Linked DNA regions of Canis lupus familiaris. The protein of the gene in region 1 binds, or shares a complex with, the protein of each later gene. Links are inferred from orthologs where the notes say so. Each region holds a gene or a part of one and is shown in the gene's direction. Other genes may lie near its edges.

What was found.
Region 2: LSM4 (region 1) and USP39 share a complex: the UniProt entries of both Homo sapiens proteins name them as parts of the U4/U6-U5 tri-snRNP complex. The link is inferred for Canis lupus familiaris from reciprocal best matches to the Homo sapiens genes LSM4 and USP39.
Region 3: LSM4 (region 1) and PRPF4 share a complex: the UniProt entries of both Homo sapiens proteins name them as parts of the precatalytic spliceosome. The link is inferred for Canis lupus familiaris from reciprocal best matches to the Homo sapiens genes LSM4 and PRPF4.
Region 4: LSM4 (region 1) and SART1 share a complex: the UniProt entries of both Homo sapiens proteins name them as parts of the U4/U6-U5 tri-snRNP complex. The link is inferred for Canis lupus familiaris from reciprocal best matches to the Homo sapiens genes LSM4 and SART1.
Region 5: LSM4 (region 1) and LSM5 share a complex: the UniProt entries of both Homo sapiens proteins name them as parts of the precatalytic spliceosome. The link is inferred for Canis lupus familiaris from reciprocal best matches to the Homo sapiens genes LSM4 and LSM5.
Region 6: LSM4 (region 1) and LSM7 share a complex: the UniProt entries of both Homo sapiens proteins name them as parts of the precatalytic spliceosome. The link is inferred for Canis lupus familiaris from reciprocal best matches to the Homo sapiens genes LSM4 and LSM7.
Region 7: LSM4 (region 1) and PRPF6 share a complex: the UniProt entries of both Homo sapiens proteins name them as parts of the U4/U6-U5 tri-snRNP complex. The link is inferred for Canis lupus familiaris from reciprocal best matches to the Homo sapiens genes LSM4 and PRPF6.

Annotation. Positions count from the first base shown.
Region 1 is NC_049241.1:45,115,006-45,119,110, forward strand, and holds the start of LSM4 (U6 snRNA-associated Sm-like protein LSm4), read left to right. Parts: upstream 1-1,305; 5' UTR 1,306-1,391; coding exon 1,392-1,394; intron 1,395-4,105. UniProt on the Homo sapiens protein: Plays a role in pre-mRNA splicing as component of the U4/U6-U5 tri-snRNP complex that is involved in spliceosome assembly, and as component of the precatalytic spliceosome (spliceosome B complex).
Region 2 is NC_049238.1:39,815,587-39,819,683, reverse strand, and holds the start of USP39 (U4/U6.U5 tri-snRNP-associated protein 2), read left to right. Parts: upstream 1-1,297; 5' UTR 1,298-1,338; coding exon 1,339-1,594; intron 1,595-4,060; coding exon 4,061-4,097.
Region 3 is NC_049232.1:68,050,460-68,054,519, forward strand, and holds the start of PRPF4 (U4/U6 small nuclear ribonucleoprotein Prp4), read left to right. Parts: upstream 1-1,260; 5' UTR 1,261-1,388; coding exon 1,389-1,415; intron 1,416-2,363; coding exon 2,364-2,541; intron 2,542-3,988; coding exon 3,989-4,060. UniProt on the Homo sapiens protein: Plays a role in pre-mRNA splicing as component of the U4/U6-U5 tri-snRNP complex that is involved in spliceosome assembly, and as component of the precatalytic spliceosome (spliceosome B complex).
Region 4 is NC_049239.1:51,806,163-51,809,662, reverse strand, and holds part of SART1 (U4/U6.U5 tri-snRNP-associated protein 1), read left to right. Parts: coding exon 1-17; intron 18-122; coding exon 123-265; intron 266-3,500. UniProt on the Homo sapiens protein: Plays a role in mRNA splicing as a component of the U4/U6-U5 tri-snRNP, one of the building blocks of the spliceosome. May also bind to DNA.
Region 5 is NC_049235.1:44,955,705-44,959,679, reverse strand, and holds the start of LSM5 (U6 snRNA-associated Sm-like protein LSm5), read left to right. Parts: upstream 1-1,175; 5' UTR 1,176-1,287; coding exon 1,288-1,333; intron 1,334-2,419; coding exon 2,420-2,515; intron 2,516-2,800; coding exon 2,801-2,828; intron 2,829-3,504; coding exon 3,505-3,577; intron 3,578-3,975. UniProt on the Homo sapiens protein: Plays a role in pre-mRNA splicing as component of the U4/U6-U5 tri-snRNP complex that is involved in spliceosome assembly, and as component of the precatalytic spliceosome (spliceosome B complex).
Region 6 is NC_049241.1:57,200,347-57,204,323, forward strand, and holds the start of LSM7 (U6 snRNA-associated Sm-like protein LSm7), read left to right. Parts: upstream 1-1,177; 5' UTR 1,178-1,187; coding exon 1,188-1,193; intron 1,194-1,276; coding exon 1,277-1,367; intron 1,368-3,977. Other genes in the region: SPPL2B (signal peptide peptidase-like 2B), read right to left, coding at 972-1,031. UniProt on the Homo sapiens protein: Plays a role in pre-mRNA splicing as component of the U4/U6-U5 tri-snRNP complex that is involved in spliceosome assembly, and as component of the precatalytic spliceosome (spliceosome B complex).
Region 7 is NC_049245.1:48,284,600-48,288,813, forward strand, and holds the start of PRPF6 (pre-mRNA-processing factor 6), read left to right. Parts: upstream 1-1,414; 5' UTR 1,415-1,429; coding exon 1,430-1,440; exon of another isoform or gene 1,441-2,051; coding exon 2,052-2,120; exon of another isoform or gene 2,121-2,328; intron 2,329-3,136; coding exon of another isoform or gene 3,137-3,227; exon of another isoform or gene 3,228-3,295; intron 3,296-4,214. Other genes in the region: SAMD10 (sterile alpha motif domain-containing protein 10), read right to left, coding at 1-86, 449-620, 696-1,142. UniProt on the Homo sapiens protein: Involved in pre-mRNA splicing as component of the U4/U6-U5 tri-snRNP complex, one of the building blocks of the spliceosome.

The DNA of each region.
Region 1 (4,105 bases):
AGCTCAGGGGGTGATCCTGGAGTCCCAGGAGGGGAGTCCCACATCGGGCTCCCTGCAGGGAGCCTGCTTCTCCCTGTGCCTGTGTCTCTGCCTCTCTCTCTGTGTGTGTGTCTCTCATGAATAAATAAAATCTTTTAAAAAGAAAAAGAGAGAAGACTTGAGATAATGAGACTCACAAAGAAAGCCATGTGAAGACAGTGGCAGAAATCAATATTTCTGGGTGCCAAGAACTATGAGGATTGCTGACAAACACCAGAAGTTGGAAAAGATGAATGGGACAAATAGCCACTAAGAATCTCCAGAAGCAATCAACCCTACTGATACCTTGATTTCAGACTTATGAATAAAGCTCTATTTTTTTTTTTAAGATCTTGTTTATTTGAGATAGCAAGCAAGAGAGAGAGAGAGCACAAGCAGTGGGGAGGGGAGGAGGAGATGGAGAACCACAGAGGCTCTCCACTGAGCAGAGCCCCACACAGGGCTTGGTCCCAGGACCCTGGGATCATGACCTGAGCAGAAGTCAGATGCTTAACAGACTGAGCCACCCAGGTGCCCCAAATTCTGCTGTTTTAAGCCACCCAGTCTATGGTAATTTGTATGGCAGCCCAAGGAAACTAACACATTTGCCTATTTTTTTTCCTTGCCACCTGTCTTCTCAACGGGCTCCTAAGTCCCAGGAGGGCCAGTTTCGTCTGGTTTGTTCACTCTGTGTTTCCAGGAACAGACACCTAGCAGGTGCTCAATAAATATTTATCACACGCCTGGGTACTAAGTGCTTTTACCTAGCTTAACTCCTTTCATCCTTACTACAACCGAGGGTAGACACTATCACGAGGCCAATTTTCAGAGGGGCAAACTGAGGCTCAGAGGGGCACAGTCAGGATTCCAACCTAACCAAAGGACATGCCTTGGATAAGGATCAACTACAATAACGAAAATCAAAAGTGTAGGAGCCCTAAGGGAGACATTAGGCACAACCCAATAACCACGGAGCCTCGATTTCTTCCTTTGCAAATTGCAGCAATATCCGGCTTTGCCCACAGCGCGGAGCCCAGGAGGGCTGAGAGAGTTTCACCCGCGCATGCGCCTTTACCCATAAGGCCCCCTGCGCTGGCGCACGCGGTTCCGCCCCCGTTTTCAGCACTCACGTCGACACTTTACGGCCTCTCATTTGGCCGGCGAGAACACAGCCAACCTCGCCCGTCGTTGTCTAGCCGACCCCCCCTACTCCGCGTGGATTGGCTGCTCGTCCCTCGAGCCCCACGCTGATTGGTTCGTGTCGCTGCCACTTCATTTCAGCCTAGTGGCGCGCGGCAGGGCGGCTACCGGCGGCGCGTGAGTGGCGGCGGCGGCGGCGGAAGTGGTCGGCGAGCCCGCTCCCCGCCGACACCATGGTGAGGGCAGGGCGCCGGCGAGGTCTCTTCGGGAGGCTGGGAACGCGGCGGCCGAGGGCCCTCGGGGCGGGCGCTGCAGGCAGGGGCGACGCGGAGCTAGCGTGCTGTCAGGGCCTCGGTTCTGCCGCCTCGGCCCGTGACGGGCACACTGAGGCCGGAGAGGGCAGGGAGGTCTCCCAGAGCATCCAGCCTGTCAGTCTCGGGGGGAATAGACTTGGACGAACGTGTAATCCTAGGTCAGCCTCGCTGCAGTCTTCCCATTTTGCAGATGGGGATACTGGGGCCTGAGAGACCCGCTAAAGGGCTCGGTGAATGCTGCAGAGGGAGTTCGGGCAGGGGAGTGGCTCCGAGTGCATCCGACCCAATCTAGCTTCACATATTGGGAAGTGGGAGCGACCCGAGGGGGCCCGATCTGAGTTCTCAAACTAAACCAGTTTGAGAATGTCAAGATTTGCAAGGCCCTTAGAATGTTAGCACGATCTTCTACGCCTCTCGTTTTAAGGCTGAAAAAAATAGACCCAGAGAGGGGGCTTTGTCTTCTCCCTGGATCACACAGGGTGTCGTTTCCGGAGAAGGGGAAGCATTTTGAGCCTGGAGTGGACTAACTGCACCCTCCCATTTCACTGAAGAGAAATTGAGGTCCTGGTGAGAAGCCTCTTCTGGATCATGCTGTTATCAGATCCTGAAAGTTCTGGATTTAAGTCAGAGTGTCTCCTGCCTTCAGTGTCCAGACAGGGAGGTGCGTCCGGCTGGCTCAGTTACAGAGCCTGCCACTCTTGATGTCGTGGTAGTGAGTTCAAGCCACACGTTGCTCGTGGAGTAGAGCTTACTTTTTTTTTTTTTTTTTTTAATGTATAGACAGGGAAACAAGACCACACAAATTCAGAGCAGGCCTAGGAGAGTACCTGGCCCATCAGCACCAGAGTCCCTCAGGGTCCCTGCATGTTTCTCAGCTGAGGGTTGCACTAAGTACTGCTCACTGGTGCAGGAAATGAGAGAAGGGAGTGTAGTGTGTTCCTCTCTGCTGGAGGGCAGAGGTGGCCTGAGAGGAGGGGTGGAACTGGAAAATTCCTTCTTCCTTAAGCTCCCTGGATCTTTGGATTTTATCCCCCAGTATGTTCCTAGAGCCTAGAACAGTGCTTGTGCAAAGAACATATTTTTTTTCAGCCTGAAGAATGTCCAGGAAGGGACAAGGCATGACACACTCCCAGTTCCCCGTGGGTTATAGTGGGGCCGGAAGCAGGGATCTGAGGGTATAGGGGGGCAAGGGGGAGTCCGTAACAGCTTCCTGAATTGGGAGCCTCAGGAAGCCATCGGGTCTAATCTTAGATTGGTCTAGACCTGAGAACCAGATTCCAGACATTCTGAAAAAGGCCAGGGGAAAGGATGCTTTTTCCAGAAGCTTTTGACTTTCCCAACTCCAGGTGGCCCTGTCTTCCCTGGAATGGTGTCCTGGCTTGTCCCATCTCCCTTGGCACCTTCAAAAATTTCTTCCCCACCAAGTTTTTTAAAGTTCTCAGGGATCTTCCCCTTCCTCTTGCCTCTGTCTCCAGCAGTTTGGGGATGAGAATCTCAAAAATGGCAAGATGTGGACCCTGCTCCCAGCCTTTGCAGCCGTAGAGAGCTGTCCCTCCCAATGCCGCCTCTCCTTTTCTTATCTGTGGGGTGGGGCAGGCATCCCAACCACACCATGTGCCTCCCCGGATGGTGTATGCATTTTCTTGTGTATTTGTTCAGCAAATATTTACTGAGTCCCTCTCGAGTGCCTGGCCCTGAGCTCGGTGTTGGACAAAGTCCACACCCTCTGAATTTTCCAGTCTAGCCAGAGAGACATAATAAACAAGATAATTAGAGACTGGCTGTGTCCTAGAATGGAAGCAGCAGGGGGTGGCCCAGGTGGAAATCTTGATCCCCAGATGAGGTTATTATGAGGGCCTGGCTAAGCTAGGTGAGAGGTGATATGTGAGCAGCCACCAGCCTGAGGAAGGACTGCTGAGGCCAAGGGAACTGCAGGAACAAAGGTCAGAAAGCTGGACTGGGTGTGGCTTGCTGGAAACCGAATGGGCCACTTTGGCTGGAGCTGGCTTGGCCTTGTGACTCCTTTGGGGAGTGGATGTGCAGGGGAGTGTTGGGAGCAGGTGTGGATCACTTCTGTGTCTTAGATGTCCTCTCTGCTGCTTTCTGAATAGGGCACTGCCCGTGACAGGGAAGCTGGGGTTCTCCAGGACTGTGCTGCCAGTTGCTGGGACAAAAGAGAGGCCAGCAGGGGCATAGAAGCTGCACATGCCATAAAAGGACTCCTGTGGGTTTCCTGGTGACAGGCTTCAGCTTACTTTTCGTGGGCTTCCCCAGGATCTTGCTGTGGTGTCCCTGGGAAGGTCCCTCCTGCTCTGGCTGCTAGTCCTTCATCTAGGGGGACCTTGGCTATACCTCTCTGTCTCTCAGTGCTGAGTCTGTCTTTATTCTTGCCTTCCAGGCCCAACCTTGCTCTGTCCCCTCTTGGGTGATCTGGAAGGAAGACCCAAGGGTGTCATTGCCATCCTGGTCCACATTCCCATCTTTGACACAAGAAAACAGGCTTGCTCGAGAAAGCCTGAGACTTCACCTAGTAAACAGCGGCCGAGGCTCATGGCCCCCGTGTGTTAGATCCTCCTGCTTTTCCGTGGCTCTCTGTACCCGGGTACCATCGCACAGATGAAGTCCAAATGAGA
Region 2 (4,097 bases), on another chromosome or scaffold:
CCGGTTGCCTGACCTCGGCTGACTATTGAACGCCGCCGAGCCTCGGTTTCCTCCTTTGTAAACGAGAACACAGCGCAAGTACGTCCAAAAGAGGTTGTGAGGAGGCGGGTATTCAGGCGGGTCACCCAGCGGCACGCCTGCCGCGCAGCCCCTCCAGCCCGCCCAGCGCCCGGGTCCACCTGTGGGTATGGCTTAACTGTCCCCGCCGGAGGACCCGGCGCTGTTCAAAATTTGCATATAGTTTTGGAGCCCTCTCTAAGAAAGGAGGGGGGCACCTGGTGGCTCGGGTTGAGCTTCCGCCTTCGGCTCCGGGCGTGGTCCCGGGGTGCGGGCATCGAGTCCCACCTGGAGCTTCCGGCAGGGAGCCTGCTTCTCCCTCTCCTAGGGCTCTGCCTGTCTTCTCTGTCTCTCATGAATGACTTAGAAAAGGACAAAATTGGGAATTTGTGATTAGCATAGCGACACACTGGCACATCCACACATAGAACACCACTGAGCAATCAAAAGGAACAAGCTGTTGGTACAGGAAAAGGCGTGGAGGAATCTCAAAATAAATTCTCCTAGCTAATAGGGCCCGGCCAAAGAGAGGGCACGCCCTGGGCTTCCATTTACATAAAGCTACTCCCCGTGGTGACAAAGCAGGTGTTTGGGGAAGGACAATTTTGGAGCTGGTGGGTAGGTTTCTTATCTTAATGGTGGTGATGGTCTCAGAGTGTGTATACACCCATCCATCAGTATTTAGCAAACGGCACACTTTAAGCATGCATTTGATTGCATATGCCCATTCCATCTCGGTAAAGCTGGACACACTCGATCAGGGCCGTGGAGGGGATCGTGAAGGCCACAGGCCCTGAAAGTTGAGCTTTCTTAGCTTGATCAAGGCCGTCTCTCTCTGCCTGTGGTTTGCATTTTCCTGGGACGCCGAGAACAATCCTCCAAGTGCGGAGTTGGAGTAGCTAGGTTGCTGCAGGAAGGGGATGATTTAGGGAGGTCGCCTAGTTCTCTGGTGAGCAGCGACTCTGGAGACCACCTCCCGGGCACAAAGAAGCTCGAAGAAATCCGGAGCCCAATGAGACCTCTTTTTTTTTTTTTTTTAAATCCAGAAAATTATGGGTAAGGCGGCAGTAGGCCCGCAGGCTTTTCTCAGGGGCGCACGCAGAAGCTCAGACGCCACAAAAGGCGCAGTACTTCCCAGAGGATTTCTCGCGGCAGGATGTGTCCTGCACCGCGACTCGTAGAGAGCCCTGGGCACGATACCAGCGCGGCTTCTGATTGGCTCCCTGCCGCGCGCTACAGCGTGCCTGGAGCCTGCGCAGAGAGACCGGGCCGGTAGAGGAGATGTCTGGGCGATCCAAGCGTGAATCTCGTGGTTCTACCCGCGGCAAGCGCGAGTCCGAGTCGCGGGGCAGCTCGGGTCGCGTCAAGCGGGAGCGGGAAGCCGAGGCGCCGAGCTCCCGGGGCAGTCCAGTGCGTGTGAAGCGGGAGGTCGAGCCGGTGAGCGCGCGCGAGGCCCCGACGCCAGTCGTCCCGGCTGTGCGGGTGAAGCGGGAGCGCGAGGTGGACGAGGACTCTGAGCCTGAGCGGGAGGTGCGAGGTGCGCGGGGCTCGGCTGGGCGCGGGCTCCACTCTCGCTCTCTCCTTTTTCCATTTCCAACCTTCCCTGGGGGTGGGGGTGAGTGGGGAATTCACACTCCCTGGTGTCCGCGACCGGACTCGACTGCCTTGTGGGGAGGACGGTACTAGTTGTCTAAGACTGTAATTTTGCCTTCCGGTCCTGGATATCGGTATACGGTTATACTTTAATAGTAGCTCTTAAACTTCTTGCTTAGAATCCTTTGTTTGGGGCAGCCCCGGTGGCGCCCCGGTTTAGCGCCGTCTTTAGCCCAGGGCGTGATCCTGGAGACCCGGGATCCAGTCCCACGTCGGACTCCCTGCATGGAGCCTGCTTCTGCCTCGGCCTGTGTCTCTGCCTCTCTCTGTCTCTCTCCTGAATAAATAAATAAATAAAATCTTAAAAAAAAATCCTCTGTTTGAACTATATTTGTATTACATATAGAGTCCGGAATAGCACCTTGCTCATAGAGAGTGCTTGATAAATATTCGTTGAATAATTAATTTCAGGATATTCTTTGATTTTTTTTTTTGAAGTGCCTTGTCAGCTTCATGTTTCCCTTTCTTTGGAAGAGACGTTGTTTCTTAGGTATTTTGTATAGTTGTGATAAGATTGTTTTTTCTGGGACACACTAGAATCCCATTTGTTCTTCTGGTTTATCTTTTTTGTTTTCGTTTTGTCTGTCCCTTTTTATTTTTATTATTTTTTTAAATTTTTATTTATGATAGTCAGAGAGAGAGAGAGAGATTGGCAGAGACACAGGCAGAGGGAGAAGCAGGCTCCATGCACCGGGAGCCTGACGTGGGATTCGATCCCGGGTCTCCAGGATCGCGCCCTGGGCCAAAGGCAGGCGCCAAACCACTGCGCCACCCAGGGATCCCTCCCTTTTTTATTTTTATGATGAAGTAGATCACAGGCACTAAGATGGACCGAATATAATGCACAAGTATGGTTTAAAGGAGAGTGAAAACATACATCCTTAAATTTGCCATTTGTCAAGAACTGTGAAGGATTTGAGATTTTATTTGCAAGCTGCCTAGGTAGCCTGCCACAGTTTTCTGGATGCTAATGAAGGCCGTGGAGTTTGTAGTGTCATTCTCCACGGTGCAGTTTTTTGTTTTTTTTTTTTTTTAAGATTTTACTTATTTATTCATAAGAGACATAGAGAGAGAGAGGCAGAGACACAGGCAGAGGGAGAAGCAGGCTCCATGCAGGGAGCCGGACGTGGGACTCGATCCTGTGTCTCCAGGAACAGGCCCTGGGCTGAAGGCAGACGCTCAACCGCTGAGCCACCCGGGCTACCCTTGAAGGGAACTTATACTCACAGTGGAACTCTGGGCTTACAGAGTTTTTTATAGTGGTTTGTGAACTTGCCTCCTATTTGCTCTGTGGGGAGATCCCTGTGTCTGTCTTCCAATGCTGTTTACTACACATCTCCTTAACAAGGTAGTCTGAAGGCAGATAGTGCCTCTGGTCACAATATGGACAGAAACATGAGAGACCCATGGACAATTGTCTCCTAATGCTATCACCATTAGAAGTGGTACATAACCAATACCTTAGAAGCTCCCATACGCCCCTTCTCAATTGTATCTACCTTCTTTACTTGCTTAGGAATTGACTGTTCTGAATTTTTTTCTAATAATTTCTATTTTTAGTTGTATATCCCTAAATACTACTAGTTTTACTTTGTATTTGATATAAATGGAATCATACTATATGTGGTCTTCTGATTTGCCTTTTTTTACTAGCCATATTTTTGAGGTTCATCCAAATTGGTGTTTATGGCTACATAGTGTTATATTGATGATATACCAAAATATGTTTATCTGTTTTATTTGTGGTGGATATTTGATTTGTTTCCAGTTTGGGCCCTTTCAGATACTGCTGCTATAAATATTTTTAGTAAAACACTTCCGGTGTACATATGCAAAAGTTTCTCTCAGGTTTATAAGTAGAGATTGCTGGGTCAAAGGTTCTCAGCTTGATCTTGCTGTACTGTTTCCAGGAGGTTGTAACAGTTTATACTTCACCAGCAGTACATGAGCATTTCTATTGCTCTCTGTATTTGCCAACACTGGGAATTTTCTGATTTTATTTTTTCCTTTCTGGTAGGTGTGAAGTGGTATATCATTGCACAAGGAAATTGGCATTTTCTTGATTGTTAACAAGGGTTATATTCCTCATTTTCTGTTGGGTTGTTGTTTTCTTATTGCTTCACCAGATTTCTTTATGTAATCTGCAAATGAGTCCTTTGTTGGTTATATGTGTTTCAAATATATTCTCCCAGTTTGGTGCTTGTTCCATTAGTGGGCTTTTTGGTGTATTCCTGGGTTACCTGTGTATGGGTTCATCCTGTTTAGTTTTTCTCATTTTTTGGTTTGTACTTGTAGTTGACCCTGAGTACGAGTTTCCCATTTTCACAGCCTGTGATGATTTCCCTTTCAGCAAAGAATGGCCGTGTGGATTCTGAGGATCGGAGGAG
Region 3 (4,060 bases), on another chromosome or scaffold:
GGCTGGCTCAGTTGGTGGCGCATGGATGGGGCTCTTGATGTGGGGGCTCTAAGTTTGAGCCCCACATTGGGTGTAGAATCACTTAATAATAAAAATCTTCCCTTTTTAAAAAAAAAAAAAAGGTAAAATCAAAGAAATAAATCAGATACTCTCTTAAGTCCGATGTAAACAAATGGTAGAGGAAGCCGAAGTTCCAAGGGAGAGTAGGGGAGGGAAAAAAAAAAAAAAAAACCCTGCCGTACAGGTTCCTCACTTTTCTGCAAACTTTGTAAAGCTCGCCACTAGGAGGCAGTACCGAGTGATGGGCAAAGCTGCTCGCTCAGGAGGCCCAAGGGCAGAGGGCAGGGGCTCTAATCCCACACGCCAACCCTCTGGGACACTAGCTTCATCTTCACAGTGGACGCTGGTTTCCTCATGTTCTGCCCTCTGTTGTCTAGACTGAGTGAGGTACGGCAGTGTAAGTGCCTGGAACACAACTTGGCATTTAGTAAACGCCCAATAAACACCAGCTATTATTATTATTATTATCATCCTAATTGTCCTTGGGGGGGGGGGGGGGGGCCTCCGTCCGGCCCGAGAATCACCCAAACTTCAAGCATCTCCACCCCCGACAGGGGGGAAAGCCCTGGCCTTGCTCCTGTCGGATGCCGCAGCCCGCCCCCCCCCCCGCCCCCGCGGTACCCAGGCCGTGCAGAGGTGCCCGTGTGCACTTGACAGGCATCGCCTCACTCCGACCCCGGTACAAACACTCGGCTGAAGACCAGCAATAAAAGCAGGCCGTGGCTCCTCCTCCGGGCCTCCGTTCTACTTGGGAGCTGGTGGCCGCCGCCCGAATCCACTGCGCATTCAGCCCGCTCCAAGGAGGGCCCTGGGACAACCTCCCGACAGCGGGGAGGGCGACCAGCTGCAGAGTGGCACCCGCGGGCCCACAGCGAGGGTTTCCATGGCAACCTGGCCCTCCGCTCCGGGCCCACCGCAGCCCCTCGCGGGGCCGGGGGCCACGGCAGGCCTCGGAAGCCCTCCATTTGCTCCGGAGCTCAGCCCGCGGCCGCGCGGCCCGACGCACCTACCTCTTTCCAAGCCTGCTCGGCCTCCTCCCGGAACCCCGGCGGCGCCCACCGCGAATCTTCAGCTAAGCGAGCGGGACTACACTTCCCAGACTGCTCTGCAGAGTCTCGTCCGCCGCGTGCTTTTCTCCTTAAGTTCACGCTACTCTTGGCGCCACGACGCTTCCCTACTACTACTCCCGTCATGCCCCACGCCACCCACGACGCTGCGTCGGCCCACTTCCGGCCAGTGACGCAGTTCCGCTTTGCCGGGCGCGCGGTGGACGGTCTGAAAACGCAGAGCTCGGCTTTCGCCGGGGTTTGGCGGCCGCGGAGCTCAGCATGGCTTCCTCACGAGCCGCCTCCACGGTACGGAACTCCACTCACTCTGGCGGGGAGCGCGGAAGGGGCTGGGGGGGCGGTTCCTGCGAAATGGGGTCCCTCGGGGAACGGGCTAAGGCGGTGGAGGTCGGAGGTGAAAGGCTGAGAGACTCGGTCCTTAGAGGAGCAGCGTTTTCCAGACCCCGAAGTACGTTCCCGTGTTTTATTTATTTTTATTTTTGTAAAGATTTTATTCATTCATTCATGAGAGACACAGAGAAAGGGGCAGAGGCACAGGCAGAGGGAGGAGAAGCAGGCTCAAGGCAGGGAGCCTGATGCGGGACTCGATCCCTGGACTCCAGGATCACGCCCTGGGCCGAAGGCAGCGCTAAACGGCTGAGCCACCCAGGGATCCCCCCGTTCCCGTGTTTTAATTCATTTGCACCCCTCACTACAGGCCCGAACGGTAAATACCTCTTCCGACTGCTCCAAAACCTGAGCTCTAGAAGGCCCAGATTCACGTCTGTGTCAGACTTCATTGCAGTTTGGCCTCCTAACTTCATATGTGTTGCCTTACTCTGAAAACGTTTGAAATGTACCGAAAAGTAACTAACTTGCCCCCCTTTAATACTGCGTTGGTTGTTCTCCTTGATACTGCCCCTGTGATGAGGGGTAACCTTGGAAATTTCATAAAACCCAAGAAGAGGTTGCCACGGAATGATGCAGACATGTTCCAAAGCAAATCTTTGATAGAAAAGTTACCAAGAATAATGATGGACTAGTTCTATTAGCCTCTTCCCGTCTGCAGAACCTAAGTAGCTTGGAGAGACACCCCGCCCCCCAGTCAGTGAAGATAACCTGAACTGGTGTCCGACCTGTCCTTTTCATTTGGGGGGAAAATAGGATTGAAGCTCAGGATGAGCTCCATCCTTTGGGGGAAGCCTAATAAGTGGTTAGTATCAGACCTTAGGTTAATCCGTGTCTTTGATTTATCAGGCAACCAAAACTAAGGCACCTGATGACTTAGTTGCTCCTGTTGTGAAGAAACCACACATCTATTACGGAAGTTTGGAAGAGAAGGAGAGGGAGCGTCTGGCCAAAGGAGAGTCTGGGATTTTGGGAAAAGAAGGACTTAAAGCTGGAATTGAAGCAGGAAATATTAACATAACCTCTGGTAAGATGCAAATTGTGAGTCCCTCTTTATCTTTGTATTATAATATCAAAAATGTTAGTTAAACTTGGATCTATGTAAGGCCATCCTTTGCCTACCCTGGTTAGCATCATCTAGAGAGCCTTTTTCTTTCTTTTTTTTTTTTTTTTTTTTTAAGATTTTATTTATTTATTCATGAGAGACAGAGAGAGAGAGAGAGAGGCAGAAACATAGGCAGAGTCAGAAGCAGGCTCCATACAGGGAGCCCGACATGGGACCCGACCCCAGGATCCCACCCTGGTCCAAAGGCAGGCTCTAAACCACTGAGCCACCCAGGGATCCCATAAAGATTTTATTTATTTATTTTTTTAAGATTTTATTTATTTTTTATGAGAGAGAGAGAGAGACAGAGAGAGGCAGAGACAAAGGCAGAGGGAGAAGCAGGCTCCATGCAGGGAGCCCGACGCAGGACTCGATCCTGGGACTCCAGGATCATGTCCTGAGCCGAAGGCAGATGCTCAACCGCTGAACCACCCAAGGTTGTGAGTTCAAGCCCAGAGTTGGGCTCCACACCCACACTTAAAAAAAAAAAAATCCTCATAGTCAGTGTGTGTTTTATTTATTTATTTTATTATTTATTTATTAGAGCATGAGCCAGGGAGGGGCAGAGAAGCAGATACCCCACTGAGCAGGAAGCCTCACTTGAGACTCGATCCCAGGACTATGGGATCATGACCTGAGCGAAAGGCAGATGCTTAACCGACTAAGCCACCCAGATGCCCCAGTGTTGGTTTTAAAACTAACTGCTAGGTTATCCAAAAAGTCTATAGTTAAGGGAAAGCCCTTTAATGGTAATTTTCTCCAGTTTACTAGTTAAAGTCATAGATATCCTCAGCTGGGGCTGGTTTAGAGAATAGGTTTGGCAAGTGTTAAAGTACTGTATCTATTTTATCTTCTGGATAGAAGATCTAGTTAACTCATTTGCTGAAAGTGCTTTGTACTTCTACTTTCTGATCTCCTCTAAGTTATGTGTGTATGTAGATGTAAGGTTGTCAAAACAAGATGATGTGAGGTAAGCCTGCGTGGCTCAGTTGGTTAAGCGTCCAACTCTTGGTTTTGGCTCATGTCGCGATCTCAGGGTGGTAGGTTCTGAGCCCTGTGTTGGGCTCCCTGCTCTACAGGGAGTCTGCTTCTCCTCCCTCTGTTCCTCCCTGCACTCCTGCACTGTCTCTCTCGCTCTCTCTCGTAAATAAATAAAATCTTTAAAAAAAAAAAAAAAAGATGACTTAAGTAATTTTAAATGAGCTATCATTTAGTTTTTTGTGTTTAGCAAAATTTAATAAACTGAGAAACAATAAAGTATGTAATAAATTAGTTCCTAGAGGATACACAGACTGCAATTGTAAGAAATTATTTTCCCCTCTGTTTGAAGATCTAGTGATAATGCTGATATTACCTGTTCTTCTTATAGGAGAGGTGTTTGAAATTGAAGAGCACATCAGTGAACGACAGGCCGAAGTGTTAGCTGAGTTTGAGAGAAGAA
Region 4 (3,500 bases), on another chromosome or scaffold:
GGACATCAGCGATGAGGGTGAGGGGCCTGTCCAGCCGGGGCAGGGTAGGGGTGGCAAGGGCCGGGCTGAGGGGCCCTGGGCAAGGAGGTGATCTGAGCAGGGCTTCCCTTTGTTTCTTTCAGAAGAGGCTGGAGGACCACAGTCAGGGTCCCCAGAGGTGCTGGAGGAGGATGAGGCAGAGCTGGAGCTGCAGAAGCAGCTGGAGAAGGGGCGTCGCCTGCGGCAGCTCCAGCAACTCCAGCAGCTGCGAGACAGCGGTGAGAAGGTGAGGGGGCCCAGGAGCTGAGCGTGGGGTTGGGGGCATGCTGACCTCCTCAGGGCCAGGGCCTTTAGGGACAGGTGTGTCCATGGTGACCTGTCCTCAGGAGCATGGCACCTTCATTCCAGTTTGGAACTCTTTTGTGTGTGTAATGTCATGTTGTTAGCAGATTTCTTTAAGATCAACCAGTGTTTTGCTCTCAAGATATTTTAAAGTTGGAGCCTTCCCTGTCTTCTTTCCTTCTATGGCTGGGTGTTGCATTCCTCCTGGGAGTAAGGATTGTCCCCGGGGGTGGGGGTATCACTGGTGAGCAGGACAGCGAGGGGCCCTGTGTTCTTGGAGCTGCCTCTCTAGCTGTGGCCTGAGGGCAGGGTAGCAGTAAGCGTGTGTGCACATGCGCACACAGCACTTCTGGTAGCACCTGGAGCTGGGCAGACCGTCTGTGGAAAGCGGAGCAGATGGCTGGAGGGCTGGAGTCTTGGGTCTGCTTTTGAGGGGAGACCTTGCAGGGGATGGCATTTGAGCTGAGACATAAATAACAACGAGGAGCCAATCTTGCAGAGATTCAGGGTGGAGGTGGGTGGGCAGACTGGGCACTCAGGTGGTAGAGACAGCAGGTGTCCTTGGGAGGAGTAGCCTAGAACACTTGAGGGCCTGGCAGTATGAGCCGGACAGAGGCCAGTGGGGCCTTATGGCCATGACCACTGTTGACCCTCAGTGGGCACTTGCCTGGGCCAGGCCCTGCTTGCGTGCTTTGTATATCCAGTGACTTGATGTTCACTGCAACACCTTGTGAGGAAGGTTCTGTTATCTCCGTTTTATAGATGAGGAAACTGAGGCATAGAGGCCTTAGGGAAGTGACCTGGGGTTACATGGCTGGTAAGTGGCAGAGCTGGGGTTTGAACAGCCTGACTCCAAAGTCCACGCTTTTCACCCTACCCCTCCCAGCTCAGGGGGGAGAGACTGGAGCAGTGGCCCAGCCCGTGGGGGCTCCTGCTGTGGGGTCAGAGAAGCAGCAGCCCCTGAGCTGGAAGAGAGCCATGGGAGTGGGTGGCACAGCAGCCAAGTAAGGCTTTTGAGGAGGGGGAGTAGGGAGTCCTCTAATTCCTGAGAGGCAGGTCCGATCTGGAATAATAGAGTCAGCAAGACTGAGGAGGTAAGGAAGCCAGGCCAGCAATTGGGGACAGTCCCTCAGAGCGAGAGCAGGTGGACTGTGCGAATGTTGGAGGTGCAGCGGCGGGTGGTCTCGGCCTCAGTGACCCAGGTGCTCTGCTGCAGCAGGGAACATGGCCCTGGATGGTGTGGTGAGTGGGCGTGGCTGTGATCCAAAAAGGCTTGGTTGGCAAGAGCAGGTGGTGGGCTGTATGCTGTCCACCGCTGCTGCAAAGAGGGTCAGAGAAATGGGGCGGTAGCCAAAAGGGGTGTGAATGAGGATAACCAAGAGTGCAGAAGTCTGTCCTTGTGGAACTTTTGTTCTAGTGAGAGGACATGAAAGAAGACATAAACAACATCCAGTAGGAAAACCACTGTGAGCAGAAACAGGAAAAGGCCAGGTAGTGGAGAGATGAGGAGTGAAGAAGCGCTCCCGTTTTAGGTCTTCTGGTCAGGGTGGGCTTCCCCGAGGAGGTGACCATTGAGATCCAGATGAAGTGTAAGTATCAGTGACATCTAAGGGCGCAGTCCAAGGTGAGGGAACACCTGGCCCCTGAGACCCTGAGACACGAGCCACTGGGCTTGCTCAGGAAGTTGGCTGAGGCCTGCATGGCTGCAGGGGCAGGAACCCCAGGGAGTGTTACAGGGAAGGAGATGGTCACGGGCCATTCAGGCAGAGACTTGCTGTTGCGGTAGATGTAGCCATCAGAGTTCTGTCTTTGGAGGAAAAGCAGTGGAAGGCTGTTGCAGACATCCAGTTGGAATGACGTCGACTGTGATGGTAGCCGCAGAAACAGGAGGAAGTGGCTGTATTTGGAATGCATTTTGAGGGTAGAATCAACAGCGCTCATTTGTAGATTGTGTGCAAGATTGTGAGTGGGTACAAGAAGTTAAGGATGACTCCCAAGAATTCTGACTTGAACAGCTGGCCTCTTGCTGAGTTAAGGAGAGGGTAAGGCCATTCCTGAGATGGGAAGAGCTGGGGAGATAACAAAATGTTCGGTTTTGGTTAAGTCTAATAAAAAGTGCTTTTCTATTAGGGGTATTTGATACTGAACAGGCAGTTGGATATGTGAATTTGAACTTTAAGGGAAAGGCTGAGACTGGAGTTATAAATGCAGAAGTCATTTAAAGTCCTAGGATCAGCTGGAGTCATCAGGACGGTGAGTGTGGAGAAGGGAAAGTGCGTGAGGGTAGCCAAGAGGAGAGGGTCATGTGACAAGGTCCTGAGTCACGTGACAAGTGGCTCTTGAGAGGAAGCGTGTAAGCATCTGTGACGCATGCTCCAGAGAACTTGGGTATTGGGGATGAGCATTGACCTTTGGATTGGGCAACATGGAGGTCACTGATGGTCTTGTCTAAATCGTGGTCTTTTGGGGTGCGGTGGTGGGAACTGAGAGCCAGACCACACAAGTTTCAGCAAGGCTGCCAGGTATAAGATTACCAGATAAGAGCCAGTTGTGTTTACACACACCAACAAGAGAGAGAAAGTATAACTTTAAAAAAGGTACTGTTTGTGAAAGCAGTATAAATAGTAAAGTAGCATAGATAAGTGATAACAAAATGGATAAGAGAGAGGCCGATTGCAACAAAATAAAAAGGAATAAATGATGTGTGAGATAGGGATCCCTGGGTGGCGCAGCGGTTTAGCGTCTGCCTTTGGCCCAGGGCGTGATCCTGGAGACCCGGGATCGAATCCCTCGTCGGGCTCCCAGTGCATGGAGCCTGCTTCTCCCTCTGCCTGTGTCTCTGCCTCTCTCTCTCTCTCTCTCTCTCTCTCTCTCTGTGTGTGTGACTATCATAAATAAATAAAAATTAAAAAAAAAGATTTAATGATGTGTGAGATAGATCTCTATGGGGGAAGTTGCAGTCCATCTTTGAAAGACATTGAAGAAGACATAAATAGATAGACTGTGGTTTTAGGCAGCTAGGGCTGCCGTGACAGAATGTCACAGACTGGGTGGCTTAAGCAGCAGAAATTTACTTCTCAAAGTTTTGGAGTCTGGAAGTTCAAGATCAAGGTGTTGGTAGGTCTGGTTTCTCCTGAGGCTTGTAGGTGGTTGTCTTCCTGCTGTGTCCTCTTATGGCC
Region 5 (3,975 bases), on another chromosome or scaffold:
AATAGTGTGTAGCTAATGCATATTTGTTCCATGAATGAATGATGTGTGTATTACAACTATCTGTTGTATGAATGAATGATGTTTTTTTCTGCTCTCTCCTGTTTAGACTCGTCAGCCTTACGTTCCTGGGATACAAATATGAAACAGACTTAAGGCAGAGAATTTGTTTGCTTTCTATTCTTTGCAAAACAGAAGTGCAAAAAGCCTGGGATCCCTGGGTGGCGCAGCGGTTTGGCGCCTGCCTTTGGCCCAGGGCGTGATCCTGGATACCCGGGATCGAATCCCACGTCGGGCTCCCGGTGCATGGAGCCTGCTTCTCCCTCTGCCTGTGTCTCTGCTTCTCTCTCTCTCTCTGTGACTGTCATAAATAAATAAAAATTTAAAAAAACAAAACAAAACAAAAAAAAAACAAAAAGCCTTAAGGTTTCCTGTGTGATGACATTAGCGGACAGTGACATCTGGTGGCTGCTTATAAGACAAGACAGTTAAGTGTTGAAAGTGGATACAGTCTGTGATAAATTGGACTCCTAGCTACAACAAGGTAAGAATGATAAGGTAGTAGGCATAAAAATAAAATGTGTTTTAAATTTCCACTGTAGAAGGTTTTTTTTCTTTTTAAATGCTGGTTGTGGGTTTTCAATTCACTGGACTTTAAAAAGAAGCACTAGATTCTTTTTTCTCTCTTCTTTAAATAGGCTCCGCACCCAACGTGGAGCCCAACCAGCGGATCCTGAGATCAAGACCTGAGCTGAGATCTAGTCTGAGGCTTAACCCACTGAGGCACATGGGCGCTCTAGGAGTAGATGCTTTGAAAAACGGCTTTTACAAAAACTGCAACACAGTGCATTAGTGGCAAAAAAAAAAAAAAAAAAAAAAATTTTTGGTTCGGTCTGAAAAAAGATCCTGGCTTGAGATGAGGTGCAACTTCATAGCAGAAAATAAGACGATTCAAAGATTTCCGTATTTTGCAAAACCTTCCGGGTTGCAGGAAGGATTTATTCACAAAGCAGGATCCCTTTAGCGTCTGTCTGTCGGAAACTGCCCGGGGAAAGCCGCTACGTGCCCAGACCGCACCACCTGCAGCGGACGGAACCTTCTCCCCGAGAGCTCAGCGCCCGGGAAAGAAGCGATTGGGAAGGAGCGACTCCTGCGGACTGATTGGATCGCAAGTTCGGCCTCCGATTGGTCGAGCCTGTCCGGGCCGCGGGCCGGCGGGGGGAGCGGAAGCGCGCTCTTTCAAACTTGCCGGGCTGACGGCGAGGCCGGCGGGCCACTTCCGGCGTAGCCATGGCGGCCAACGCTACCACTAACCCGTCGCAGCTGCTGCCTCTAGGTAATCGCGGAGAAGGGGACCGGAGGGCTCAGGCTAAGTGTTGGGGCCCGGGCGGCTGCGGCTGAAGTAGCCCTTGGTCGAGTGTTAGGGAAATGTGGGGATGAAGGGCCTCAGTGCTCCGCGGCTCGTCTGCCGGCTCCCGAGTGTCTGCGGCCCCGGGCCGCCCGGGAGCCTCTCTGCACTAGGCACGAGGGCTGGGCGCTCTTGGACAAATTCAGACGCCTCCCACTGCCTGCGGATAGCACACACACCAGGAGGAGATAGAGCGCTCCACCTGTAAGCATCACGCCGAGTGATAACGAAGCCAGCTAACGAGGCGTTCAAACTGCGGTCCGAACACAGAGATAGTGACAGGAAGAAATCTCTGGTGGATACGGTTGTGCCTCTTCCGATATTTTGTAGCCAAAGAGTTGATGGAGTTATCGGAAGTGGCCTTGTTTTGGAAGTTTTCATTCTTTGATTCCACCAACTCTTTTTGAACGCTTGCTATGTGCCAGACATTGCCCACTGAGGATAGAGTCCTGGGAAAACAACCACAGTTGTTTCATGGGGCTTAGACTCTTAAAAAAAAACATCAAACAAACATTTTTATTCATTCATGAGAGACACCCAGAGAGGTGGAGAAGCAGCCTCCATGCAGGGAGCCCGATGCAGGACTCGATCCTAGGACCCCAGGATCACGCCCTGGGCTGCAGGCAGGCGCTAAACCGCTGAACCACCTGGGCTGCAGGGGGTGGGGGGGGCTCAGATGTTAATTATATATTAATTATGCATTTCGTATGTTAATCAAAATCACTTAAAATAACATTAAACCACAACCGTGATGGATAAACTTCAACAAAGGAGAGGTAAGTGGTAAACAGGACGTTTTTGTTTATGCAACAGAGATAACGTACCGTAAAATCTCTAAAGTTTTTGAATGAATACTTTCTCTGGTTTATCTTTCACAGTAAGTAACTAACAAGTGCCAGTAGGCATTCCAATATTTGTTGAAGAAATGAACAGGTAAAATAATCTTTTTTTCTCCACCCCCCCACCCCTCTTTTTTTTTCTTTAAAAAAAAAAAATATATATATATATATATAGAGCTCGTGGACAAATGTATAGGATCAAGAATTCACATTGTGATGAAGAGTGATAAAGAAATTGTTGGCACACTTTTGGGATTTGATGACTTTGTCAGTATCCTTTCAAAAGGTGGTGGTGGTATGGGTTTTCCTGCAGTACTTAAGAACAGAAATAAGAATATGGACAGTCAGTACGTAACTGGTTATTGTATTAGAAATTTATTCACCTCTTGATAGCGTTTTAAGAGGTGTGTGTACTGAAAAAAGATAAAGTTCCTACCGATTACTAGTATTTTGCTCTGGAGCCATTGTATTAAACGTTGTAATTAAAATGGAGTAAAGATAGAAGCCAGAGTAAATTCAACCTGGTATATGTATTTTTCTTAACACCAAATTTCAGATATGGTACTGGAGGATGTCACTGAGTTGTGAGTAGTGTTAAAAATTAAAGAATTGGGGGGAATCTCTCCTTAAGTCAATTTTAGTATTAATGAGTTTAAAATGATTAATGAGAAAACATTGCCTGTCAGAAATACCTTAAAGATAGAAATTTTATCTACTGACACTGGTAAAATTGGATCAGTTATTACCGGATGTAATTATTATGTTATTATTAATGACTGGTAGGGACTTAGTGGAGACTGAGCTTTGAGATAAAAGATACTAAAAACAGCCAAGGATGTTTGTGCTCAGACAAATCAAGGCATTAAACTTAAGATATAAATGATAGCTCCATTATATTAGTTTTAAAGATCACAACCAGTGTCTGCTTTCAAAATTGAGTTGATTACAGATTGGTTTAATGGGTAAGGGATTAGTAGTAAATAATAGTAAAAAGGTGAGGCTAGTAAACATTCCATTTCATATTTGATCTCTTTGGCCAGTTTTAGCTTCTTTTAGTTTTGATCCTAGTGGATGTGGATCTGAGGCCAGTCAGTTCACTGTGTTGCCTTTGGTCATCCAGTGGATAACCTTTGTCTCTGAAAACTACTGACATAATTGCTCAACCTCATATTCATATAATATAAGAATAACTTTTTTAGGGATCAGAATGTTGGCTTTGATTATCATTGTTTATCTTGACTCTTTTATTTCTTCATTTAGTGAAATCACACCAGAAGGAAGAAGGATCACTAAATTAGATCAAATTTTGCTAAATGGAAATAATATAACAATGGTAAGGTACAGTAAAGCTGGGCGTTTTTTTAGATGTAGCCCATTTTTGTGAGGCAGAGATTACAGATTACTTGGCTTGGTTAAATAAATGTTCATGGCCCAGTGGGTTTAAGTTGGGAATGAGATGCTCCTGTGATCAGGGCTCTAAAGCTGAGCTACTGAACATGACAATAGGCTTAAAGATTAGTTTGCTTGGGCTTTTTAATCTTTTGGTTTGCCAAGAATCATTGTTTAGACTCTAAGTATTAATTGACGATGTTGGGATTATAAACAGAAGCAATGACCTGGAGAAAATGGGAATGTGGGGGAGGAGCAAAGAGGCCAGGTATCTTTGATGGGTGAAAAGGGGTTTTTAGATGATGGGTGTGGTGGTGGTATTAATAAGCTCTTTTTCCTTCT
Region 6 (3,977 bases), about 12 Mb from region 1:
ACGGAGGCGGAGCGCCTTCAGCAAACTAGGAACAGGAGGGGAAGCGTCCCAAGCCGCCCAACCACAGAGGCCTCCCACACGCGCTGGAAGCCGAGGGGCGGCTCTCATCTGGATGCAACCAGACCTGACACACTTTCAGAGACATCCCTCCTGCTGTGCCGCCCATGGACTGGGGGGTGTGTGAGACGCAAGTGGCCACCGGAGGCTACAGGAGAGAGATGGGGACCTGCGGCGGGCAGCTCAAGGTTAATGGGACACCACTCCCTGAGCTGCATCACCCAGGGAACCGGGGAGGGAGGACCTGCAAATACAAAGTGCGCTTAGGAGGATGTCCACCCCCCGGCTGGCAGCAGGCCCCCCGCTGGCCCGGAGACCTCTGACCCCAGCTGCCCGAGGAGGAGCACGCTGCAGCTGTCACCCCATGAGCATCACCGCCGAGTCCTCACTGACGTCTTCCTTTTGCAGATGAGCAACTGACGCCCGAAGCTGGGGCCTCCCTTGCCCAAGGTCACGCAACAGAACACGGGGCGGCGGTTGGACCCCACTCGGGACGCGGGCTCTCGGCCGCTCCCTGTGGGGAACCGGGGGCCACGCCGGACGGCTTACCGCAACCACGCGGGTGGGCGCTAACCTCGCGCGGAAGGGGAAACTGAGGCTGGGGGCCAGGCGGGGGGCGTCCCCGGCGGCGGCCGGGGGCCTCGGGACGGAGCAGGGCCTGGGGAGCCGGGGGGCCTCCCGGACTTCAGACCCAGGCGCAACTGGGCGACGCTGCGGCTGGGGAGGGCTCCGGGGGGGGCCGGCCCGCAAGGTCACGGCCCGGCTCCCGGCCCGCGGGCCACCGCGCGGGGGGCGAGCAGACCCGAGGCTGGCCCCCAGGCCAGGCCGGGCGGGGCTCCCGCGGGGCGCGGGGCCCGGGGCGGAGGGACCGGGCGCCGCAGCCGGCGGGGCCGGCGGGGCCGACGCAGCCTCACCTGGGTCGCGAGGAGCAGGAAGGCCGCCGCGAGCCGCGCCAGCGCCGCCGCCGCCGCCATGTCAGCCGGGTCGAGCCGCAGGCGTCGGCAGATGTTTCCCAGCAACGCCCCGGCGCGCCCCGCCGCGCCTGCGCCGTGTGCGCTCCGCGCCTGCGCACGGGGGCGGGGTCAAAGGGCGCGCGGCGGCGCCTGCGCAGAGCGGCGCGCGGCGGCAAGATGGCGGTGAGCGCGCGGCGGGGCCGGCTGGGCGGGCGGCGTGGGACCCGGCCGCGCTCTGCGCCTCACGCGCTCTGCTTCCCCCGCAGGACAAAGAGAAGAAGAAAAAAGAGAGCATCTTGGACTTGTCGAAGTACATCGACAAGACGATTCGGGTGAAGTTTCAGGGAGGCCGCGAAGGTGAGAGCCCCCCGCCGCCCGCCGCCCGCCCCGCCGCCCGCTCCCCGTCGACGGCTCCGGGAGGCGAGCAGGGTGGCGGATGCCCGGGCGCAGGCCGGAGCGCTTTGCTGGGAGGACTCGCGACGGCCTCCGTCCGACGCCGTGCACGCGGGGAAACTGAGGCACGGGAGGAGCTGCAGACACCCCGAAGCGGCCGAGGCGCAGGCGGGGTCCTCGCTCCGAGGCAGCCGCCCCCGCTGGTCCCCGCTGGTCACTGACCCCCGCCCCGGCTCCTTGGGCTCCGCACTCGTGACCCTGACGCCAGCCAGATTGTTCGGGGCTGTCGGGGCGCTGGGGGGAGGGGAGCAGCCAACCCCCGGATGCCGCCAGATGCCAGGACATGCCTTAGCTTGGGCACCCCAACCAGGCATCTCCCTTGCCGAGCCGCGGCCCGGTGTCAAGGATGGTCCAGAGGGGCCTGTTAAACACAGGTGGGCCCTCCTCTGGGCCGCCCGGTCCCTCCCGGGGAAGGGGCAGCCTTGCGGAGCTCTCAGCTGCCACCAGGCTGTGACGTGCACCCGCCTGCTGGGCTCTTACCAGGCTTAAAACACAAGGCTTCTCTGGGTGAATGAATTTCAAAGATCTCGGGAGCTTTCTCCCACTATTCACGAGCCAGGGAGCACCCCACCTAGGAGACGGCGCAGAGCCCCAGAGGGTTTCGTAGGCAGAGGGTGCAGGAGCAGACGCTGGATCGCTTCCGGCAGGGTCCCCCTCCTCTGGGGGATGCTGGGGGTTCTTTCAGGAAGACTAGCTCGGGAGGGCTGACCTGGAAGTTCCAGGCTGACTGGTGGAGATTGCATTCCTGGGAGAGCTGCAGGTGCGGCCAGGTTAGGTATGAGGCCGCGGTGGGGTGGCCGGGGCTTGGCACGAGTGACGCCGTTGGGAGTCTCTCTTTCTAACTCCAGGTTAACTCCACAGTCATTTTTCTGCTCTCAGCTCAGGATTCTTGTTCCAGGAAGCCTTCCCTGATCCTCCACCCTGGGCCCCACGCCTTTGGTGTCAGCTCCTGGTACCGTCTGTCACCGTTCCCCGCTTTACGCAGTAAACACGACACCGACCTCTGCATCTTTCCCCTGGAATAGTGAGGAGGGCAGGAGCTGGGCCCAGTGTTGCTGGTGCGTGTAGGCAGTGTGGCCTCTGGGGTCCTAGCACCAGGCAGCTGGAGTCAGAGCCACAGCTCTTTGGCGCACTGGCTGTGGGACTTCGGGCAGCTCACCCCGCCCCCCAGGGCTCCATTTCTTCACTCCCCCCACCTCACCGGGCGGTGGTGAGGATCACAGGGTTGGAGGCACCTTCGATGTGGTTTCTGACACAAGCAAGCACTTGAGCAACATTTCATTTCTTCAGCTGCCTCTTTGCTTTCGTTGTGTTTCATGAGACAGTGACCCAGATCCTTTCTCCCGGAGATGTGGACGATTGGGTAGCATCGGCGTGGTTAACAGCGCGGTGCCTGCAAGTCTAGGTAGCCAGCAGTGGTGAGAACTTGAACCCGAACAGATGTTTGCTCTGTCTGCGCCGTGCTGGCTCTGGGACCCGTGAAGGAGACACAGCTCTCGTTTCTCAGGGTGCTCATATGGGTTTTCTACGCTGTGTAGCAAGTTGCCACCACGTTAGCAGCTTACGCAACATGAATTTATTATCTTGTGGTGTTTGTCAGGAGGAGTCTGGGTGCCTTGGGCTCAGGGGCTCAGGTTGCACTAAAGGAGTGTCTCAGACGCCCTGTTGGTTGTGGGCAGGGTTTGGTCCCCTGCGAGGGTCCTACCCCTGTAGGACCAGGGTCCCCGAGCTCTGCTACAGGTGTCCTAGAGGCTGCCCGCCGGCCCTGGCCACAGCACTGTCCACAGCATGGCAGTTTGCTCCCTCAAGGCCAGTGGGAAGATCCCTCTCATGCTTTGAATTTTTTGACACAGTTCCTGTTCCCCTGAGCTCATCTGATTAGGTCAGGCCGGCCGAGCAGAATCTCTTTAGGTGAGCTGAGAGGGCACTGATTCTGGGACCGTAATCACACGTGCCCGTTCCTTCGTCTTTATCCTCCTGTAACCTAATGGCAGGAGTGGCATCCCGTCCTATTCACAGGTTCCCTCCCACACTTGAGGGGAGGGGTTCCACTGGGTGGTCACCGGGGTCAGCCCCATTTTAGAACTCTGCTCGTGCCCCACGGAGGAGGGCAGACCCGCAGGTGCGGCCACAGTGCCCGCTGCCCATAAGCTCGTCGGGGAAGTGTCCTCGGGACCTTTGTCTTGCGGGCGGAGGGGAGGTCAGTCGGGGAGAGAGGAAGGCACAGAGCCAGGCGATCTCGGTCACGGCTGGAGGCGTGAAGGCGCCCTGAGCCGGTGAAGCTGCTCACAGGAGCGCAGCAGGCCGGGTTGGGCCCCCACGCCGTGGTGCGCAGAGCTGTCGGTCCCGTCCAGCCCCGTACTCCCCGCAGACACTACAGCAGCGCGGTGGAGCGTGGTGGGGGCACCCCTGCTTCGCCAGCTGTGCCTGGGCCGGGAGGCCTGAAGGCCGGAGGGGCAGGGCTTTGGGGCGCGTCCCTCTGGCCGTGTAGGCGCCGCTCCTCTGCGCATGCGC
Region 7 (4,214 bases), on another chromosome or scaffold:
CTGCTGCAGCACCTCTTGTCGCTGTGCCTCCTGCGCCAGCCCCATCCGTTGCAGCTTCTCCCCGTTCAGCCGCAGCAGCGCCCGGCCTGGGAGCCAGGGGTTGAGCAGAGAGGGGTTGAGCCAAGGTCAACCTCCAAGGGGCATTAAGAGCCGAGGCAGAGAGAGGGAAACGGGAAGGGGACACAGAGACACTCAAGGACACAGAAGGAGAGGCGGAGACAGCAGGATTTAGAGAGGGAAAGAGAGTGAGAGGCAGAGGGGAGGGCAGAGAAAAGCCATGAGAACGGAGCAACACGCCGGGGAGACTGCGGAGAGAGAGCCCTGGCAGGAGAGGTTGGCCCAAGAGGAAACCGAGGAGAGACAAATGACGGCAAGAGAGACAAAGGCAGGCTGGGGGGGCTCTCCAGGGGATCCTTATGCCCCCCCATGCCACAGCCCCCAAGGGCACCTGTGATGGCGTGCTGGGAGAAGGCCTCCACGTAGACGAGGTAGTTGTGGGGACAGTGCTTCTTGAGCCACTTGCACACGTCCTGCTGACTCCACAGGACCACAGGCCGCGTCAGGCCGCCCAGGGAGGGACTCGTGTGGTACAGGCCATAGTGGTCAGAGTACATCCGGCCCTGCGGGGGAGACGGGTGCCGGGTGCGGTGAGGTGGTGGGAGGGCAGGGGCTGAGGGGGGACGGCGGGTGGGTACCTGGGGGGCCTCTGTGCCAGGCTGCTGCAGGAGCTTGACCGGCCGGCCACCAGCGGCCCTCTGGCTACGGGAGTCGTGCCATGTGAGGCTGGTGCCTGGCGTCCGAGGCAGGTGGCAGGGGATGCTCTCAGCGGACACCGTGTGCTCCAGGAGGGTTCGGCAGAAGCTGAAGTGTGCAGTGGCTGCGGGGCATGGGCGCCTGGTCAGGGCGGTCAGGGCCGGGGCCAGAGGATCGTCTCTCTGCAAACCAACTCCCTGCTCAACCCATCTTCCCTTGAACACGAGGCCCCTTTTCCCAATCGGGGGGCCCCAAGCCCCCAGGGACAGGAAGGAAGTGCGCAAGAACGGTCCTGCGTAGCCCGCCCAGCCCAAAGCTGATGGCCTGGGAGCATCCTTCCTCTTCTGGGCGCACTGGCCGTGCTCTGGGGAGCACGAGGGGTTCCGCATAGGTTCGAGAGACAGTGTGCCCACCGGGGAGCCTAAGGTTCACAGTCTGGTGAGGAGCTACCCTGAGACAGGCCTCGTCTCACCCTCGCTCTAGGCTGACGCACGCTGAGCCAGACCAGGGCACGCTGCGGCCCCTCTGTCCTGGGAGGCCCTGCGTCACGGCGTCCCCGAGAATGCTGCCTGCCATCGCCACTGACGGCACCCCAACTCTGCAGCCATACCTGGCGTTTGAGACGTGGCTCCTGCCGTGCGGTGCTCACCTGCCAACCCCTCGGCGGGAAGCCTGAATGAACTGCAGGCAAGCCACCCCGGGAACCCTGCTCTGCCACCTGTCGCAGGGCCCTTGGCCCAGGACAGCTCCCGTGGGTGGGCATCCAGCGGACATGGGCTGCTCAGCACAGGTGTGCAGGGGCCAGCCATGAGCTCGGGGAGCCACGGGGACACCTGGCGCTTTCTTTCCACAGACTTCATTACACTCCTCAAGTTTTAGTTTCGCTGTCCTTCCTGGGCTCGTTGCTCACATAGGTCACGGGAGGGCAGACACCCTAACAATGGCCTCCTGACCCTTGCACAGGTCTGGGCACACAGCAGGTGCCCAGGAACACTGTGGCTGGCTGGCTGGGTGGATGGAGAAAGGCTCTGTGTGGTGTCCACAGCCAGTAGAGCCCTGGGGAGAGACAGGAAGCTGGGCCCAGGCTCGCCTTCATCTTTACAGCACCTAGGCCCCAACTCGGCAGGCAGAAGCAGGTTCTCGGCCAGGGCCCTCGCCTCCCTGGCTCTCAGCCCTAGAATGAGAGACCCTGCCTTCCATGGACACAACCCAGTGCCCCCAGCTGAGGGCAGGGAGGGGTTGGCTGTGTGCCCAGGAGTTCTCAGCCATGGGGAAAACCCATCACTTCCCCCTTCTAGCCCTTCAGATTCCTCCGATTCAGCACGCCGTCTTCATACTTGCAACTTTTCGGAATTGGATGACCCCAGGTGACTCTAAATTTGAGGTCCAGGATCAAATAGAGGGTGTGCCTGGTGCGGTCCCTGCCTGGATGAGGTTTCTGATATCACGGAAAAAGACTTATTCTAAGCTGGCATCTTTCAGGGCACAGGTTCCAGAGCCACTCGGCCTCGCCTTGCAGGGCCTGGCGGAGTGGGCTGGCCGGGTCAGGGGCAGAGGCAGAGGCAGGGGCAGGGGCAGGAGCAGGGGCAGCGGCAGGTTCAGGGGCAGGAGCAGAGGCAGGAGCAGGGGCAGGGGCAGGGGGCAGGGGGCAGGAGCAGGAGGCAGGGGGCAGGAGCAGGGACAGGGGGCAGGAGCAGGAACAGGGGCAGGAACAGGGGAAGGAGGCAGGGGCAGGAACAGGGGCAGGAGCAGGAGCAGGGGCAGGAACAGGGGCAGGGGCAGGAGCAGAGGCAGAGGCAGGAGCAGAGGCAGGGGCGGGGGCAGGAGCAGAGGCAGGGGCAGGAGCAGAGGCAGGAGCAGGGGGAGGGGAGGAGCAGGGGCAGGAGCAGGAACAAGGGCAGAGGCAGGGGCAGGAACAGGGGCAGGGGCAGGAGCGTGAAGCTCTGGCCGAGGTGGGCGTCGCCGCGGCGCTGCACCTGTCGGGGTCCAGCGGGCCCCGCCCATTTGCTGCCCAGGCTAGGGGAACGATCTGCGTCTTTCTGTCTGTCCGCCCGTCGTTCCGTCCCTCCCTCTTAGCCCCAACGTCAGAATTCCACCATGAAACGGGGCCGGGGGCGTCCAAGCCCAGCTGTGGCCTCGGCTCCTGTCGGCCCCACGGCGGAGCAGGGGAGGGAAGGGCGCGCAAAGGGAAAGGTGACCGCGGGGTGGGCCAGCGGGGGGCAGGAGCCCCAGCCGTAACCTCCTCCAAGCCAAGGGTGCGCTGATGCCCCGGCCCGAGGCCACCCCCCATCAGGACAAAGGCACCAGGGACCCCGATCGGCCAGGATGCGGCCCCCCTCGGCTCAAGCCGCCGCCCGCCCGCGCCGTGGTCAGCCCTGCTCACCGTCCACATCCCGGCGCTCCCCGAAGCCGGCGCGCACAGCCCCGGCGCGGCCTCGCGGGGGGCTCAGCTTGGTCCTCAGCTCCGTGAACATGGGGCCCAGGGATCCGGGCCGCGCACACGCCCCTCGCCGGGCGCCAGGCGGCCGTGTGGCCGGCGGGGAACGCGCGCCGCCTGCCCGCCCCGCCCGCCCCGCCCGCCCCGCGCCCGAGCCGGTCCCCGCGCCCGCCGGGCGAGTCTGCGCGGCGAGGCACCTGCTCCCGAGCCCGAGCCCGGGGCCGGGCGCGCTCGGGAGCTCCGCGGTCTAGCGGCGGCGCGCAGCTCTGCTCTGCAAAGGGAGCCTGCGGGGGTCCGGGCGACCTTGCAACCTGGCGGTGGCTTCCAGGACGAGCGCCTGCACCTCCCGGGGGGCCCACCCCCCGGGGGCCTCTGAGGCGGGGAAAGGAGGAAGCCAAGGTCCCGGCGGGAGGGCGCGGGCCGGAGGCGGACATCCTCCCTGGTCCTGGGATGGTCGGTCCACCGAGGCCCAGGTGGAGGGCCAGACCGACCCCTCCATTTCTCACTCCTTTATCCTCGCCTTCTCCAGAGATCTCTCCCTCAAGGGGCACTTGCTCCCCTAGGAGCCTCCCTTAACCCACCGCAGGGGACTCCAGGAAGACAGCCGGGCAGCACCTGTCCCCTTCCCTACGCAGCCCCAGGATCTGGCCCGGGGCTCAGGGGGTGCCGCTGAAGGCGGTTTCGCGGGGCATGGGGAGGACAGAGCCGCTCCAAGGAGGCCGCTGCAGGGAAGAGGGATGCGTCTGTTCCAGGCCTCCCTGGGAAGTGCTAGGGTGGGCTGGGGGCCGCCGGGGTCAGAAGGCCAGACTTGCTACCCACCAAGTTGAGCCTGCACCGCCAGGGGTCTGGGCGCTCTCCCCAGGCGTATGCGGGTGCCAGAGGACGCCCACGGCACCACGAGCAAAGGCGCACTCGGAGATAGAGTCGTCGTGCATGTCCACCTAAAACATGGGCCCAGGTGATGACTGGTACCCAAGCCCAGCACCACGCCCAAGGAGAGATTTGCATGGAATTCACCCCCGAG